Arabidopsis thaliana: one gene and its partner. The protein of the gene in region 1 interacts with the protein of each later gene in a pairwise test. Each region holds a gene or a part of one and is shown on either strand. Other genes may lie near its edges. The genes, in order: AT2G01370 and AT3G60670.

What was found.
Region 2: the proteins of AT2G01370 (region 1) and AT3G60670 interact in a two-hybrid assay, tested with the Arabidopsis thaliana proteins (one large-scale study listed by BioGRID).

Annotation. Positions count from the first base shown.
Region 1 is NC_003071.7:166,134-174,275, reverse strand, and holds AT2G01370 (DNA-binding storekeeper protein-related transcriptional regulator), read left to right. Parts: upstream 1-4,633; 5' UTR 4,634-4,726; coding exon 4,727-5,485; 3' UTR 5,486-5,645; downstream 5,646-8,142. Other genes in the region: EMB3111 (Tetratricopeptide repeat (TPR)-like superfamily protein), read right to left, coding at 139-1,151, 1,300-2,020; AT2G01379 (uncharacterized protein), read right to left, coding at 2,933-3,178; AT2G01360 (pentatricopeptide (PPR) repeat protein), read right to left, coding at 5,797-6,345; QPT (quinolinate phoshoribosyltransferase), read left to right, coding at 7,067-7,116, 7,205-7,341, 7,420-7,553, 7,639-7,785, 7,993-8,076.
Region 2 is NC_003074.8:22,421,699-22,430,831, reverse strand, and holds AT3G60670 (PLATZ transcription factor family protein), read left to right. Parts: upstream 1-4,462; 5' UTR 4,463-4,640; intron 4,641-4,757; coding exon 4,758-4,934; intron 4,935-5,040; coding exon 5,041-5,115; intron 5,116-5,294; coding exon 5,295-5,435; intron 5,436-5,792; coding exon 5,793-6,137; 3' UTR 6,138-6,396; downstream 6,397-9,133. Other genes in the region: AT3G60680 (DUF641 family protein (DUF641)), read right to left, coding at 1-586; AT3G60660 (spindle/kinetochore-associated-like protein), read right to left, coding at 7,665-7,742, 7,888-8,001, 8,106-8,135, 8,211-8,316, 8,395-8,462, 8,599-8,686, 8,792-8,904, 9,049-9,133.

The DNA of each region.
Region 1 (8,142 bases):
GAAATGTCAATAAAATGAAGAAATTAAATTAAATATAATAATAAAAAATGATGAGTAATGGGCTTAAAAACAGTATAGGCCTCATATTTAATGGGCCTAGATTAAACATGTACATGTTGACTTTCACCTGCAACCAGATTACAACAGATTTGTAGCAAAGAGAAGATCACATATTTTGTCTTCAACATGAACATTTTCTCGGAAACGTGCAGAAGCAACAAGACTCTTCTTCTCCTTCCTCAACAACGCCACTTCCTTCTGGAAATCACTAGTTTTCTCAAGGCCAGACAATAGAACATCGTATGTCCCCAAAGAAGGCATTATCTCTCGCTCTCTCATCTCTCGTAATATCTTCATTGCTTTCTCTGGACTCCCTGCTGAGATATAAACATCCATCAGCGCAGTGTAAGCAGCTACACCCTTTTGATCATCCGGAAGTAAGTCGAAAACGTCTGCGGCTAAACGAGGTCTTCTCCCAAACCCGAGCCTGTGGATCAACATAGCTCCTTGGTAACAACCAAGCGAGTGTTGGGCTTTCACCATCTCCTTGACCACTTCAATCACTTTAGGAAGCTCGTTTGATCTCAGAAAGTTACCAATTAACGCGAGATACGCTGACTTCTTGAGATGAATTCCCATTTCCAAGCTGTAATCAAAAGCCAACGAAGCCCCCTCTGTTCTACAACGGTCACAGTTTGTTTCTATGATTGCTGAAACAACAAAAGAATCCAGCTTTATGTTCCTATCTCTCATCTGGTTAAGTAAAATGTCAACTGCAACCAGATTCTGCTTCATCAAGAGAACGGAGCTGATAACTCTACTATCATCTGAATTCTTAGTGTCATTAACTTCCGCTGTTGGAGTCTCATCAATGTCACTGGAGCACAACGATTCAACGGAAATATGCGAGTTGACTTCCCTTAACAGATCATCACTTTCGCCTGCAGCTTTCAGTGTCTCTAAAGCTTCAACAAAGATAGGATAGCGTAGGACAACTCCATTTTCTTTCATGTACACAAGAACTCGAGTCATGAAAGATGTTTCCCCAAATTTCAAGGCTTTCGCTATCAGAATATTGCAAGCTGCTTTATCTGGCTGCACACCAATTTCTTGCATTTTAAAGAATATGTCCAAGGCTTCCTCACATTTTCCTGCAAAATCAAACGAAGAAACTAACACATCATCATCAACAAGGCTACAAAACATTCAGATACCAGAATCATCTACATAAAGCAAAAGTTTTGGATTTTCAGCTAAGCATTTTAACAAACACTTAGTGTGCAAGAGAATGAAGTTGACCTGTGGCGACAAGATACTCCATCAATACAGTATAAGTGTGACAATTCGGAGAAACCCGCGACCGTAACATCTCCTTATACACCTCCGTGGCTTCTTCCACCCTCCCATCAGCGAAAAGCATCTTCATGTAAGCAGTGTACGACACAACGGTAGGTTCGCACCCATTATCTCTCATCTCCTCCCACAACCTCATTGCTCCATCCACATCACCGGAGCTTGAAACCCAGTGAATCAGCGATGTATAAGTCACCGTATCGATCAACACACCCTTCTCCTTCATAAGGTGAAAAACAGAGTACATGGATTGAATCCGACCGGCTTCTCCGAAGATATCGAGCATGGTGGTATAAGTGAAGTGGTCGTGTTTGAAACCCTTGATTTGAGCAGCCCAGTTGAAAAAGAGCCAAGCTTTCTGCATCGGAGGATGTGCTTTCAAGACACGGTTGATAATGTGAGAATCCCATCTGACGCCGAGATGTGGAAGCTGTTCTTGAGCAGAGTCCCAATTGGAGTACTTGAGGATGTTATAGATGTTGGATACAATGTCTCTTGTGTAAACACTGGGATCTGGTAGGGTCTGTGTTTTCACAAGTTTGGGTTTTTGGGAGAATCGCTTGGAGTTGGTGGGTTTTAGACGAGGAAGAGAGTGAAGTAGCTTGACGGAGCTCCGGCGATTGGAGAATTGGATTGGGGTATTGCGGAAGATGCTAGAGAAGCGCATGAAGCTTTGCCCAGAGAGATAACCAATTCTAAACTCCAACCTTGCAGTGTATTAGAAAGCTTTGTTTGAATAAGACGCCGTTTTTTATTCAAGTAAAATTTCAAAAATCTAGATTCAAAGAAAAAAATTCAAAAATCTAAGCAAATCTTTAACCACAATTATAAAGTTAGGGTTTATAATTTGACTTAGGACCTGGGCGTTCGGGTATTCGCTTCGGTTTTAGTTGGATTCCGATTCCTTCGGTTTTTGAGTGTAGAATCCATATATGAACCGAAACAGTTTCAGTTTGGTACGGGTTTGGTTCTAGTTCTTTCGGTTATGAAGTTTGGGATCTATTCGGATATTTTATTTCAGATATTTCGGATATTTTCGAGTATTTTTTTGGATATTGTGGTGTTATATATATATTTTCAAGTATATTTTGGTATTTTAGGTATTTTTGATTATTCAATCTAAAAATAACTAATATTTTTGGATAATATAATCATATTTCGGATATCTAAAATATTTTTGGGTTCGGTTCCTATTATTTTGGTTCTAGAATTTAGGATCTATTTAAGTATTTTACCATTTCGGTTCGGATTCGGGTTCGGTTCTTTTTGCTTCGGTTCCGGTTCGGTTCTTTCGGTTCAGTTATTATGCCCACGCCTAATTTGACTTGTGTTTTACTCGCTTATCTGTCCACTTTTATCTTCTTGTGAAATTTTCAAGTTACAAAAACAAATACTTGGCACCAAAATTGTGTGAATTAGTTAGTTAATGATCAAATGGTTAAATAACACAAAGAGTTGTATAATTTATGTCCAAAAGGTATTACAATTTCGACTCTTTCGAGTTTGGAGGAGTCGAATCGTGGATACATATATGTATGAGAAGAGAGACAATAAATAAAAGAATGTGGTTGATCAAGCTTCAAGGGCAAGTAACATAAGTGTGGGAAGAATAAACTTGTGAATGAGAAAGAGGGTTTAGTTTGTTGTGACATGGAGAAGGCTGTGAAGGAGGAACTGGACCTCGTTGGAGCTTATTCTGCAAAGCAAACCTTCTACCTATATCTTCCTTCTTCATTCTCAGCCTTGACGTTGCCGATGTTCCTCTTGATCCCACCAAAGCTATAAAACACAACATCACTATAATGAATTTCCACATGATCCTCATGATAACTCGGCCTTGTAACGCGGGGATGAATGGTCTAGTGGTTGATTAGTATGAGGAAACGTTGAGTTAGCTAATAATGAATCTTTTGAGGGAATTAAGAAGGATGAGAGATAAAAGTTTTGATGGAGGAAATATATAAAGATACATGGAGAGGGAGAGAGACAATGGTTTTATTTGAATGTTGTTGTGAAATATTCAAAGTAAACGAAAGAGCGAGGCAGCTTCTTGTAATTGTTTGACTTAGAACTCTTTACTTGTTACGTACATGTTTCATGTTTGAGTGTTACGTTTTATGTTGAATTTTGTTAGTGCCTTCATTTTAGTTTTAGCAGCCTATTTAGAACAATTTCTTTATTTTATTAAAATTTTGCACACATTTATTTACATGTTTACCTACCTTACACTAGTATATGTCATACACTAATAAATTTTGCACACATTTATTGAAATTTCTGATCGAGAATTTGGAGGGGGAAACAAATGATATTCCACGGAGATATGGGAACATGTTATTCACAAAAGCAACGATCGCTGCAAACCCAAAGTCCTTTTTTTTAAATCGTCTTAAAAAGTGTCTTTATTATTCTGATTACTGAGTATGAATAAGCCTTAGGCTCTATTTTTAGGATGGTGGTGGTCCTATGAAGTAACCTAAGTGTCACGGTATTTGAGGGAGATTGTGAGGGACTTTTACATGGACAATGATTATAGAAAACTATGGGATAAGACTGTCAGTTGCAGGTTGATAGTAATAGCGGAATTGAGATTAAAAAGTTTCCCTTGTTGACGTCAAGAGAGTACGTACTAGCTTGGAGATTGTGGCAAGGAAAGGACAAGAAGTTGTACTGTTTCACAAAGGTACTTATCATTTTGCTCTTTGGCGTTATTATTAGGAATATGGTAGCACAACAGAGGAAGTATGTACGTGTAAGTTATTTTAGAACTGGTTGGCGAATCAAGCAAGGCAAGTGGATTCACCTAAAAGTTGTTCTAGTCAGTGTTGTTTGAATACCATATTTTGCTTGTCGCCTACACGTTTGTAAGATGGAAAACGCTCTTTGTAAATACATAGCCACCAGTCATAGAACCCAAGGACCCATTTTCTCTGCTGTTACCTTAATGAAAAAGGTGAGATTCATATATATGGAAAAATCTCTTCTGTAAAATGGTACTTAGTGTCCTGAAACTGAATATGCATAAAGCAACCGGTTGGGTTGGGTCTTCACTGACATGATTGTTGTAGGTTCCATCAGAGTTAGAAACTCACAAAGATAATGTCACAGCCTCCATTCAAACTAGTTCGTGAAGGAGTGTTGAGTTGTAGCCAAACAGAAGAAAAAATTGATATTGGGACAAATGATCGATCATTAGTGACATTAGATACAAAACTTGACAGCCCTTCTTTTTGGAAGTTGTAGCCACAATTACTTAACCCTAATGCTTTTTTTTTTTTTTGTCAAACACTTAACCCTAATGCTAAGCGGCTATATAAATAGAAGATCTTTATTCTGATATTATCTCTACAACTTTTTTATCTTGAAAAAAAAAATGAAAGGAATAACAAAAAAACTTTTGGTCTCCCGCTCTCTCAAACGTCTGACGGCCAAGAAAAACCGGAGGAAGATTCATCGAGAGACGAACAAGCGTCTCAAACCGGAGGAAGATCCATCGATGGTGAAGAGGCGTCAAGACTCTGATTCAGATTCGCTGGAGAAGGAGGTTTCAGTTGTTGTAACCAAGACGAGTGATGATGAGATGGTGTCAACAGATACCAAAAAGAATTATTTTCAAAGAATATGGAGTGATGATGATGAGATTGTTTTGCTGCAAGGCATGGTTGATTTTGAGAATGATAAAGGGAAGAGTCCTTATGATGATATGACTGGTTTTATTGATACGGTGAAGAACTTCATTAGCTTTCAAGCGAATCAACATCAATTCACAACCAAAATCCGTCGCTTGAAGGACAAGTTCCTCAAGAAATGGAACAATGGTGTAGATGAGAACTCTCTTGTAAATGCTCACGACCGGAAATGTTTTCAACTTTCCAAAGTAATTTGGGAACCTACAACTAAGGTGGAGGAGGTAGGAGATTGGTTTGTAAATTCTTATCTTGTAGGATCAATTGCGAGGTTAGGGGTGAGTGAAGACGTAATGAAACAGAGTTGGAGCATGGTTCCGATAGAGACGAAGAAGGAGGTCGAAGAGAAGTTCAAGCTGTTGAAAGATGAAGAATCTGAAAACCTACGGCTAAAGACAAGTTTTTTGCAAAAGGTCAACTCTATGATCATTGAAGCAACAAATTAGACAAGTATCGAATTAGAGGTTTAATGCATCTTTTTCATTTCCATCCCATATGAGTCTGTTTTTTCTATTTGGTTTGTTATTGGTTTTTGATACTTGGATTGTGTTGTTAAAAACACTATGGAAGAACGGCAGATTAAATTTTAATGCATCCAATTGTGGTCAAGGTTTATGGTCTAAATTTTGGTCAGAATACTCTTGTTAGATACCTCTCACTTTGCTTAGGGTCAACAAGCATCAATGTTTCTGAGATCACAGATTTTGTAATCAAACAGAAGCAACAGATTTTGTCTATCTTGCAAGCAAACAGAAGATCACATGCATATTTTGTCTTCAACATGAACAATTTCCCGGAAACGTGTAGAAGCAACAAGACTCTTCTGCTCCTTCCTCAATGACGATGTTTCTCTCTGGAAATCACTGGTTTTCTCAAGACCAGACAATAGAACATCGTATGTCCCAAGCGAAGGCATTATCTCTCGCTCTCTCATCTCTCCTAATATCTTCATTGCTTTCTCTGGACTCCCTGCTGAGATATAAACATCCATCAGCGCAGTGTAAGCAGATAGACCCTTTTGATCATCCGGAAGTAAGTCTAAAGCCTCTGCAGCTAAGCTAGGTCTTCTCCCAAACCCGAGCATGTGGATCAGCATTGCTCCATGGTACACACCAAGCGAGTGTTGGGATTTCACCATCTCCTTGACCACATCAATCACTTTAGAGAGCTCGTTTGATCTCAGAAAGTTACCAGCTAACGCAAGATACGCTGACTTCTCAAGATGAATTCCCATTTCCAAGCTCCAATCAAGAGCCAACGAAGCCAAGTAAATAACCAAGATACTGTGCCAACTATTAGTAGTCATTAAGAGACAAAATCAGTACTAGATACTGTGCCAACTATTGTCAAACCCAAAAGTGTTTGGACGGTTTCCTATTATATCTCTATGCTTTTACTAAGACAACCTAGCAAATATTCTGAAAGTGTAACTGCACGACTGATAGTTGCATCAATAGTGTGACAAGAAGCCATAAATGTTTGATCAGAGGTGTACCATACGGGTACCTGCATAGTTGGAGTAAACAATTGAAAGATGAATTTAGCCAAGCAGGAATAACAAACAGTTTAAAATTTTGTAATCGATCCAGGGAGTGTATTTACTCAAAGAACAGATCAAGGACTCTTCTAATAGCTCCTGAGCTAGCTAGTTCTTTTCCTATTGCTTCACTTCGAGTTTTCAGTAAGACATGAATGAACTCCACAATCTAAGACAAGCCATCAGCAACACAAACGAAATCAGAAATATATTACACAACAGAAAACACACACAAGACACAAGAGTATATGTTTTGAGTTAGAACTCCGTACTTGTTACATGTTTGAGTGTTATGTTTTATGTTGAATTTAACTAAAATGCAGACGTTAGTATGGAATGGGCTTCACAAATAAAAGCCCAATAGTATGTTTTTTTGGTAGGGAGCCCAATAGTATGTTGGTTCACCCAAATATCATTTCTTTCTCTGAGAGCTGTTTATTATATTCACACAAAGAAGACCAACAAGAAACAGAGTTGAATCAGTTCTACAATGATCTCTGTCTCTCGATTCTTGTCGCCTCAATTCTACGCAATTCCAAGGTTTTATCCGACAAAACCCAATCTTTTAAGTCTCTCCTTTGTTCATTTCTGTAATCGTGGCGACCAAACTCAATCTCAATTGTTTCAGGAGCTTCGTAAAAATGTCTGCTTCAGCGACTCAAACGGCCGGAGAAGTTTCAATGGGGATCAAGCCTCCTTCACACCCTACTTACGATTTGAAAGCTGTTATCAAACTAGCCCTAGCTGAAGATGCTGGTCATACAGGTTCTCTCTTCACCTTCTAAAGTTTCGATTTTTAATTTGTGAAATTGAGTTGGTCAAAAATATATGATTTGAGTGAAGGAGATGTAACGTGTATGGCTACGATACCGTTTGATATGGAAGTGGAAGCTTATTTCTTGGCCAAGGAAGATGGTATTGTTGCTGGAGTTGCTCTTGCTGACATGATTTTTGAACATGTTGATCCCTCCTTGAAGGTGTTTCCATCATCTTACTTGAAGTCTTTTGATTTGTTTTGTATGTGTCTTTTAGCTTGAAGTGATTTAGTTTCTAATATCTCAGGTTGAATGGATGCGAAAGGATGGAGATTATGTTCATAAAGGATTGAAGTTTGGGAAAGTATCAGGGAATGCACATAAGATTGTTGTTGCTGAAAGAGTTTTGCTCAACTTTATGCAGAGGATGAGTGGAATTGCAACCCTTACCAAGGTCTTTTTTTTGTGTCTCTATAGATTCTCTCTAGTGATTGGTGTGGTTGCATTCATATTAACTTAGTGAGCTTATATCTTATAATGACAAGGCTTTGTTGGCTTAGTACATGGTTTATAGTAACTCAACAGTATCCATTCCTTATTTCGTTTTATAGTACAGTGTTAGTAGTGAACTTTGTCCAGCTGATGAGTCTGTTTCCTGCAGTTAATGGCAGATGCTGCATCCCCTGCATGTATACTGGAGACAAGAAAAACTGCTCCTGGTTTGCGGTTGGTAGATAAATGGGCGGTACGTTCCACACTACTGTTATACCTATTTCAAACCCAACCTTTGAGAGTTGAGACACATTTGTTG
Region 2 (9,133 bases), on another chromosome or scaffold:
GAACACGAGATTCTAAGCAAGACCCAATAGCTAAATCAGACTCAAAATCCAAACTTTGGCGATAATTCCTATAAAACTGCTTCAAATCAGACAATTTCTGGAGGTTAGATACGAGAGCTCTATCAGCAGCCTTGACATTTTCCTCAACAAACGGCGCGTGAGCAGCTTGCAATTGAAGATACGAAGCTTCAAAAGACGAAGCAGTAGCGAAAACAGAAGAAATCAAACTCAATCCCATCTGTGTATCCAATTTCCTAACCTGAGAAAGCTTCTTTTGATTAGGTTTAACAACACTTACCACACCCAAATTCTTCGTCTGAACATCGTTCACCGGAGATTCAATAGGAGATCCCGGAGAAGAAGCACTAAGAAGAGGCTTATCGGGTTTAAGAACGACGACTTTCTGATCGGTGATAAAATCCTCGGAGGAATCGAGAAGAGAGAAACCCTCAGCATCGGTTCTCTCATTATCGTCTTCGGTGAAGAACTCGTAGGTCTTGGTCTTGACGGCCATGGCTAATTTCTGAAACATTTGAGAGAATTGTGGAGGAGCTGCTGTGATTGCCGTTGTTTCCACTTCCCGCATCGCTCAAAATACGCAATCTCGAGAAGAAGAAGAAGAAGAAGAAGAAAACAAAATCCAAATCGAATTGGGAAACGAAAAAGACTTGATTCTGATTGACCAACCTAAGAGTTAATAACAGTCAAAAAAACTTGAGAGAAGGTTTTTGCTTTGAAGGATTTTAATGGTGCTTTGCTTTGGATGCATTTGGAAGAAACGAATGCACACAAAAAAAAAACCTTTACCTTTTCGCTGTATTATTATTTTTTACATTTAGAGTTTTTTTTTTTCCGCTGACTTTTTTTTAGTTTGATGATGATTTGGTTAACGGTAACAAGTGATTAATACCATTTCGTTTAATAATGGTTAGTGACACGACTAAACCGGTTATGCAAATGGTGTAACAGAGACAACATATATTGGCAAAGTAATTATATCATTTCGTTAAGTGAAATTAACTTCTTCTAGTGCGTACACAATTAACGTTTTCACATTTCTTTTTGGGTTGAATTATTGTTTTGTAATTTGCTACTGATTGGACATATAAATTGGTTATAAAATTAAACAGGACCTTACGTCTACGTTACATATTTAACACTCGTATCTATAAATGTGAACGGCACGAAAATTAAGTGTGGCATCCACTTTCAAACATTTCTTTGATCATTTAGACTTGAATACTCTGATAACTAATAGACTAATACTAATAGTAGTAAGAAATATTTTAACCGTCCGGTTAGTCATTATTGTATGATTTGGATATAAGAAAATGAATTTAAGAGTTTTATTGATTTCTTTGTTGTATTAGAATGTGTAAAACTTTTATTAATTGACCCACTAAGACTAATCATGGCTTTGAAGACACCTTTACAAGGACATGTCTTTCGAAACTCATCTCCTAGATTCTTGCTTTATTTCTTCCCTTTTCTTCACGTCTTTGTGATGCTTTTAGCTAACATTTTTAGTGGTTAATTGTTTATAATTAATTATGTCCTATATTCCTTTTCGTGTAATCATAACGCAAATTAAGGGTTGTATCTTTTTCACATATACCACTAGAAAGAAACGATACTTGTGTTTTTTTTCATCTTTCATCTTTTCTATTTTTCTTGTTTAACAAATGTCTTTCGAAACTCATCTCTCAAATTCTTGCTTTAATTCTTTCTTTTTTCTTGACAATACTTTGTGATCCTTTTAACCACTAACAATATTCTAAATTATATCTCGAAGATCAAGATAATTGTACAAAATCTTTAAAAATATATCAAACAAGTTTGATTTTTTTATTTTTATTTTGTCATATTCAAGAGTTGCCGCATAAGCTAAATAGAGAGTCCATGTATTTGTGTGTTAGGTGAGTGGTATAGTCAAAGAAAGTACAAATGGGAGAACAACACATTTGAAAAAAAAAGATTTGATCGACAATCCTGAACAAGCCTCACGGTCGAAAACGCCATAAGACTATCAAAGGTATCTAAAAGATTTAATAGTATCAAGTAACTTTCAAAATTTGCGTTGTCAGCTTAATAAAGACCAGTATCAGTGGTTTGTGTTCAAAACCGATGAGAATAACCAGACTATGTTCGAACTGTTACCATTAAATTTATCAAATATTAATGTCTAGATGTTTTTTTGTACAAACTACTGACAATTTAAACTTCAATGATATTTATTATCACTTTTTTACTTCACCTAATCTATTTAGATATTGTATAATTGCTAAATCATATTTACAATCACCCTGAATTTATTACATTAGATTTACTTTAGTGAAATATTCATATATATAATAATATATTTAAGTTAATTTATATATAGAACAAATTTTAATGTACCTTTTCATTACATTTGATATTTTATGACCATTTGTATCATGAAGTCTCTTATATTATTGGTTAAAAAAAATAAAAAATTAGATTATAGTTTTTGATATAAATAAATAAATCTTAAAATATGTAAGTATCCTATATTTTTTAAGAGAGGAAGTAGTGAATTAGTGATGCACCTTACATTTACCGTGTTCGAGTATATGCTGAAAGTGAAAGGTTTTTAAGTTAATAATTTGTGTAACTTTTTGTAATCTGATCCCGCTAAAAAAAAAATAACATTTTACATTGATACATTTGTTTATTATATCATTCTGTCTAAATTCCACAATGACATATAGAAATAGTTATCTTTTTTATTACATTGTGGGACATAAAATCAAATACAAAGACAAAATTGAGGGTCGTATGTCACTTTCCCTTGATTTCATTTGACCGTTTGGTTACCAACGATTTCGGTTGTTAGATCAAAGTTTGTTCTTCAACGACGTCGGTTTTGACTAAATCAATAACACCAATCGTGCTGTTGTGATCAGGACCACCCCAGATGTTTTAAATTCGATTAAGGAGAAATGTGGATCAACCATAACAAACAATCGTAAGTAGCCCAAATAAAGGATAAAAGCCCCAGCCCATGTAGATATCGTAAATTGACTAAAATACCCCTGATGATCAATAGTAACTAAAAGGCTAACGAGAAAAGGGGACAGCTGGATCGAAATCGAATCGGATCAGATCAAAAGAAAGCAGTGGCGTCGCATTCTTTCTCTGCCTGAGGCTGCTGCTGCTGCTCCTCCGTACCAACTCTGATCCACCTCTCTGTCCCTCTCTCTCTCTCTCTTTCTATACATACACTCATATTCTTTTTTTTTCATTTTTAAAAATTTGTATGCAAAAATTGAGAGATTATTTTACTTATAATAATAAAATGAAAATAATAATAGGTGGTCTAGTGAGGTACGTAGGTAAGTTTAGTAGTATAAGCAATAACTAATAAATCCCATCAACTTTGCACTGGTTTTCGAGAACAGTCTACAGCTGTGACAATGGGTCTTAGGGTTCTTGGAATTTGCTCTCTATTTCTTCCTCTATTCAATGTATCAATCATATACTTCATTTAGCTATTACAATTATGTTTTCTTAATTATTAATGAAGCTTATTTTTATTTTTTTGTGTGGATGGTAATGTTTTTAATTATAAAACGGTGCTTAGCTTTAATTTGGGTATTTATTCTCACATTTTTACTGAACGAAATACACGTAGTAGTAAAAAGAGAAATTTGTTTTTAGTAGGTTATATTGGGTTTACGAAATCGCCACTTAGAAATGATCAAATGAAAAGTAGACTGTTGGGGAGAGTCTTGTCATTTAGCACTTTTTCACAGTGAACCAGACAGACCTTCTAAACAAAAACAACACATACAATTATATCATGAAGAGACGATACAGGAAAATCAAATTGGTTGTATAAAGAAATCTCGTTTTACTTTCTTTTTAAAAACCCAACTCATATTGTTATAAGAAAGAGAGTTTTTTTTTTCTGTCTAAAGAAAGAGAGATTAAAACTCTGAATTTGGCTTTAAAATTTTGATATTGACGACTGTCACATACCAGAGGACTGAATTTTTTTTAATACTATTTCTGAAGAAAATGCTTTCTTAAATTTAATTATTAATTATAATATAAAGTTCATATTCACACGGTATATAAAAAAAAGGTTTTTTCATATGACAGTAAATATAAAATTTATTATTATTGCCAAGCTGAATTCTAATAAATATACACTTCTGTTTGTCAAGTTGGAACTGTATCTGTCAATGAAAAGGTACTTAATAATGATAAATAACCCAAAATTGTTACTTTTCAACACTCATAATCGAATTCTGCTATCTAGTAGTAGTCATTACGTAGTAAGTTAGTAACGTATCTAAGTGAACCACTTCTCTAACTAATGGATAAAACTAAATGAGAGTAAATAATCAACAAAACAAATTAATTAACGAATACTAAAGATTACAACACATCATTAAGGAGAGAAAGAAGAGAAGACTCATTTGAATTTAAGCTAGTGGTCACTCTCTCCAGGCGCCGCTCTCTCTTTCCTTCTTTCTTTCTCTCTCTCTCTCTGAGAATGGTCAGTCAATTTCACCACTGAGAGAGCTCAAAATCGCCTGACCTTGACCTTACTCTCTCTATCTCTTCCCCGAGAAAACCACCTCCCAGTGTAGATAACCAGAAGAAGATAAGCCAAGGTGGGTCTTCTCAATTTTACCTTTTTAGTCCAAAAAACATGAAATTGAAACATGGGTCTTGATTCATGTATGGGTTTCGTCTTTAAAGTTTACTGTTTTTTTTTTGGTATTTTGCAGATGGAATCTGGAGAATTTCCTGCATGGCTTGAGGTTCTGTTAAAAGACAAGTTTTTCAACGCTTGTTTGGATCATGAAGATGATAAGAAGAACGAGAAGAACATATTATGTATCGATTGTTGTCTTACCATCTGTCCTCACTGTCTCTCTTCTCATACCTCTCATCGTCTTCTTCAGGTCTCTCTCTTAAAATAAACAAACTTTTTTTTAATGGTTTCAAAAATCTTCATATTTGTCGGAAGAAAAATATGAACTTGGTGTGTTTCTGGGAATCTTTACGCAGATAAGAAGATACGTGTATAGAGACGTTTTGAGGGTTGAAGATGGTTCTAAGCTAATGGATTGCTCTTTAATTCAGGTATAACTCGGTTCTGGTTGTATTTAATTATCATGATAAAACTCTTAATCCGTTTATTGTATACATTAAAAGTCCAATTTTCATTGGTTCTTGTGCCCTAAAATTTTGACAGCTTTAATTAATACTCGTTGTCTTTTTCTTTTTCTTTGTGTGTGTGTATGTGTTGATGATGATTAAAGCCATACACAACGAACAGTTCAAAAGTTGTGTTCATCAATGAACGGCCTCAGTCTCGACAATTTCGTGGTTCCGGTAACATTTGTATCACCTGTGACCGGAGTCTCCAGTCTCCTTACCTCTTCTGCTGTCTCTCCTGCAAGGTCTGCTTTTTCTTGTTCTAATTACTTAAAAGGAACATCTTTTCTTCGTTAATTAAGTTTTCATTTAAAATTCTATCACATACCCAGTCCGATTTACCACTTTTCTTCATCTGGGTCGATCTTCTTTTTTAGAAATTTCATTTTTTGATGCACGAGTACACGAAATTGTCGTCAGATAAAAAAGGAACGTTTTTATTTGTTGTCTCATTTATTTTTCAAATTCTTTCAAAATACACAATTCAATTTCTTTCTGTTTTTGTTGTTTTTCTGCTTTTTAATATAAACACGCGTGTACGATCATATTTACACGTAATTGTCGCTGAAAACACAAACACATGGTTTGTTTGTTTTATGTAGATTAGTGACGTCATAATGAGACAAAGAGGACTCTCAGGGTTTCTCCGCGTCTGCAACGTTCTTGATTTAACCGACGAAGTCACGACAACGACACCGAGTTCCACTCTCGAGCCCACCGGGTCGAACCGAACATCTTCCGAGTCAAGTGGTAACGAAGGAGAAGACATGTTCTGGTGTCAGGCGCTCGCTTGCACCGCCACTACTGAAATCGTTAGGAAGAAAAGAAGCAGCTTGTCGACGACTTGCAGGAGAGTCACGGAGGTGGTTTCAACGACTAACACGGAAGCTCCGGTGAACTTTTTAAACCGTCGGAAGAATCCGCCGCAACGCGCCCCGCTTTATTAACTCGTGACGTTTGGCGAAATTTGGTTGGTCCAAGTGGTAAGTAGAATGAATACACGTAACTACTATAGTCTTATTTTATATTGTTAATCAATATCTCTAAATAACGAATCGAATTTTAGGTTTTTTTAAGAAATGGAATTAAGAATAGTTGAAAAGATCTCTCCTGGTTTTGTCTGACTCTGATATCTGTACCGCGTAATGAGAGAACTCTATGTTATTTAATTTAAATACTTTTCGTATAATGAAACATGTTTTCGTATAATCCGTTTTATTGCTTCCCATTTTTTATAATTTTTTAAAAATACCTCTTCCTCCACGAATAGCAATTTCAGTACTATTGAGACGGCTTGATTTAACATTTACAGCGGCGAAGTAAATTCTTAAAGGATTAATATTTGTTGTCATTAAATGCATTAGACCGACCATATCTTTCTTGGCTGAGTTAAATGATACGTTTTGAAAATAAAAGAAGTAAAATGGTAGTGATGGAGAACTCTATAAGTCTAAATGTGGTCTGCAGAAAATTTATGAATGTTTCTTTCTTGTATGTATATAAAATTTAGGTCACAACTCACAAAATAGTAAACATGTTAATTAATTATTTGATATCAGTTGGTTGGTAATAAATGTGAATTTTCTTTAAAAAATGCATGCGATAAGACTGTATAGTGTGTGTTTTTGTCTTTATGCATAACGTATTTTGTGGGTTTTGCACGAACGAAAGACGACTAAAATTGGTTATTGGTTATACGAAAAAAGAAGACAAAGAGATTGGAACAGACATTATGGATAAACGTGAAATTGTGAATGTTTCTGAGGCAAATAGTCTTTTTTTTTTCTCTCCTGTTTCCCTGGACCACTTTCTTCTTCCCATTTCGTAGTGCCTCTTGATTTTTATTTCAGGACATATGAACAACAATAATGCAAGGATCGTCGTTTTCGCTTGGTTATTAGATTTGTTTTCTTCTTCTGTTCGGAAAATAATGTTGCCAAATTTACTTGTCCGTATCAAGATAAATGTATGGCAGCTACAATTTACTATCTATTGATTTTACGAATAGACAGTGACACAGATAAGATCCTTAAAGGTATTGGAGTATTAAGAAAACTATGTGGAGGTAAAAAGTCACTAAATAAAAACGGAAACCGAGTTTTGCTACTTTGTAGGTTTGAATGGGACAGGCCATTTGTGCACTGGAACTTGAACCAGATTGCTTAGAGAAATTGCTTTTTTAATATTATGAAAATAACGGAAATCGAGTTTTTCTACTTTTATGCAAATGTGAAAATTGCATTAAACATTTTTGTCCATATTATAAATTCAAATCCTGGGCCTAGCTGGGCCTGTCAGGCGGGCCGGTCTTAAGGATTAAGATTAAGGCTTAATGATGTTTAAGGGACCAGTAGACCTTCTATGATTCTATGGTACAAGGAGCTCAGAAGAAGCAAGAAACTATTGAAAAATGACGGAATTACCCCTTACGCTTGTGAAAATGAACAACTTACTTGAGGCAAGTTGGTTGGTTTCTAGTGAGGCTTCATAAGAATGATGACGCGGTTTTGTCCAATGCGAGTCTCACTAATACGACCAAGGTGGCGAAGAACCTGTTAATAGACACATCAAAATTTGACAATAAGCATGTGTTATCGATGTTAGTCTAACTCTGGTGAAGAGTTTAAGGAAGCATGAAAATGTTGTTTCTTTTTTGTTGAAATTTTGAAATGAAGGGAAGATATATTAGTTACTTACAGTAAGTATTGCTTTTCCTGTGTTGTCTAGTTTCAAACTTGGTCCCTTCATGTCAGTTTCAAGAAAGAAATGTTTGCCCTTCACTGCTTGCTCTGTTACGATATCTCGTAGTTTCTGCATATAAGAGTTTCAAGACAATCAAAGATTATAACAATGTTTTCACTAGTGAACGGATACTATCATCTAGACAGTGTGGTTGATGAGTTATATTAGCTTACAAGTGCTTTCTCCCAGAGATTTTCCGCTAGCTTTGGCAATATAAGACAAAAGCGTCAGTACAATTGTAGCCTATATAACTCAATTCCTTCAGCTGGTAAATATACCTTCTGTTTTGAGGCTGCAATAAGATGAGCATTTGCTTCAGCATATGAGGCCATGTCATTGATAGCAGCATTCACTTTCTCAAGGGTGAGCCTTCCTCTCATGTATCTTGTTTTTTGGAAAAATGTCAGAAAAGCGGTATGCATTTCACATAAACAAGGAGAAGAGAAAGTAAAATGTACTTACGATGAGAGTGAATTGAGTTCCTCAACAGTTATGTACCAAAGGGGAGGAGACCCGCGACCCTTCTTCTCCTGGAAACAAAACCAAAGATCAACCATAGACAGAGATAACAGAAATACACAATAGCAACAGTTTATCATTCATCGCCATTGAGTCTTAGAGGCCATAAAGTCTCTTTGAAGAAAACAAAGTATATGCAAGTTCTACCTTGGGTAAAACAGCTGCTTCCTCATCAAATTTCAAAGAGCTGAGAGTAGAATGTTGCTCGTACTGCTTGGCATTCTCTTGGAGCAGACTGGAATGAGAAACCACTAATCTTAATCAAACTTCTGGAGTAGTAATAAAAATCAAAGGCTATACCTAGAAATTGAAAAAAGAAGATGCAAGTAAATGTAAATACCATCTATTTAAATCTGAATTCAACATAGTAGCCTTGTCAGGAAAATGGGAAGGTGCATAAATAGACATCTTCTGCAACTTCCCTTGTTGTTTCAGTGATGCCTCTATAAGTTTCTACAGTCAACACACAAAACTCTCAAAGTCAAAAACCCAGGTCCAGATTCTAAACCCTAAATTACTCAAATTCAAATCATCTTACAGTGTAACGACGTTTCTAGAATCTGAATTTCAGAAATCTCGGAAGTAAATAAAACGTACCTTAGCTTTTGGAATAGCTTCGGTTTCTTCACGTAATCGGTCCTTGATCGATTGTACCTGAAGCTCCATTGAGCTCAACGCTGTG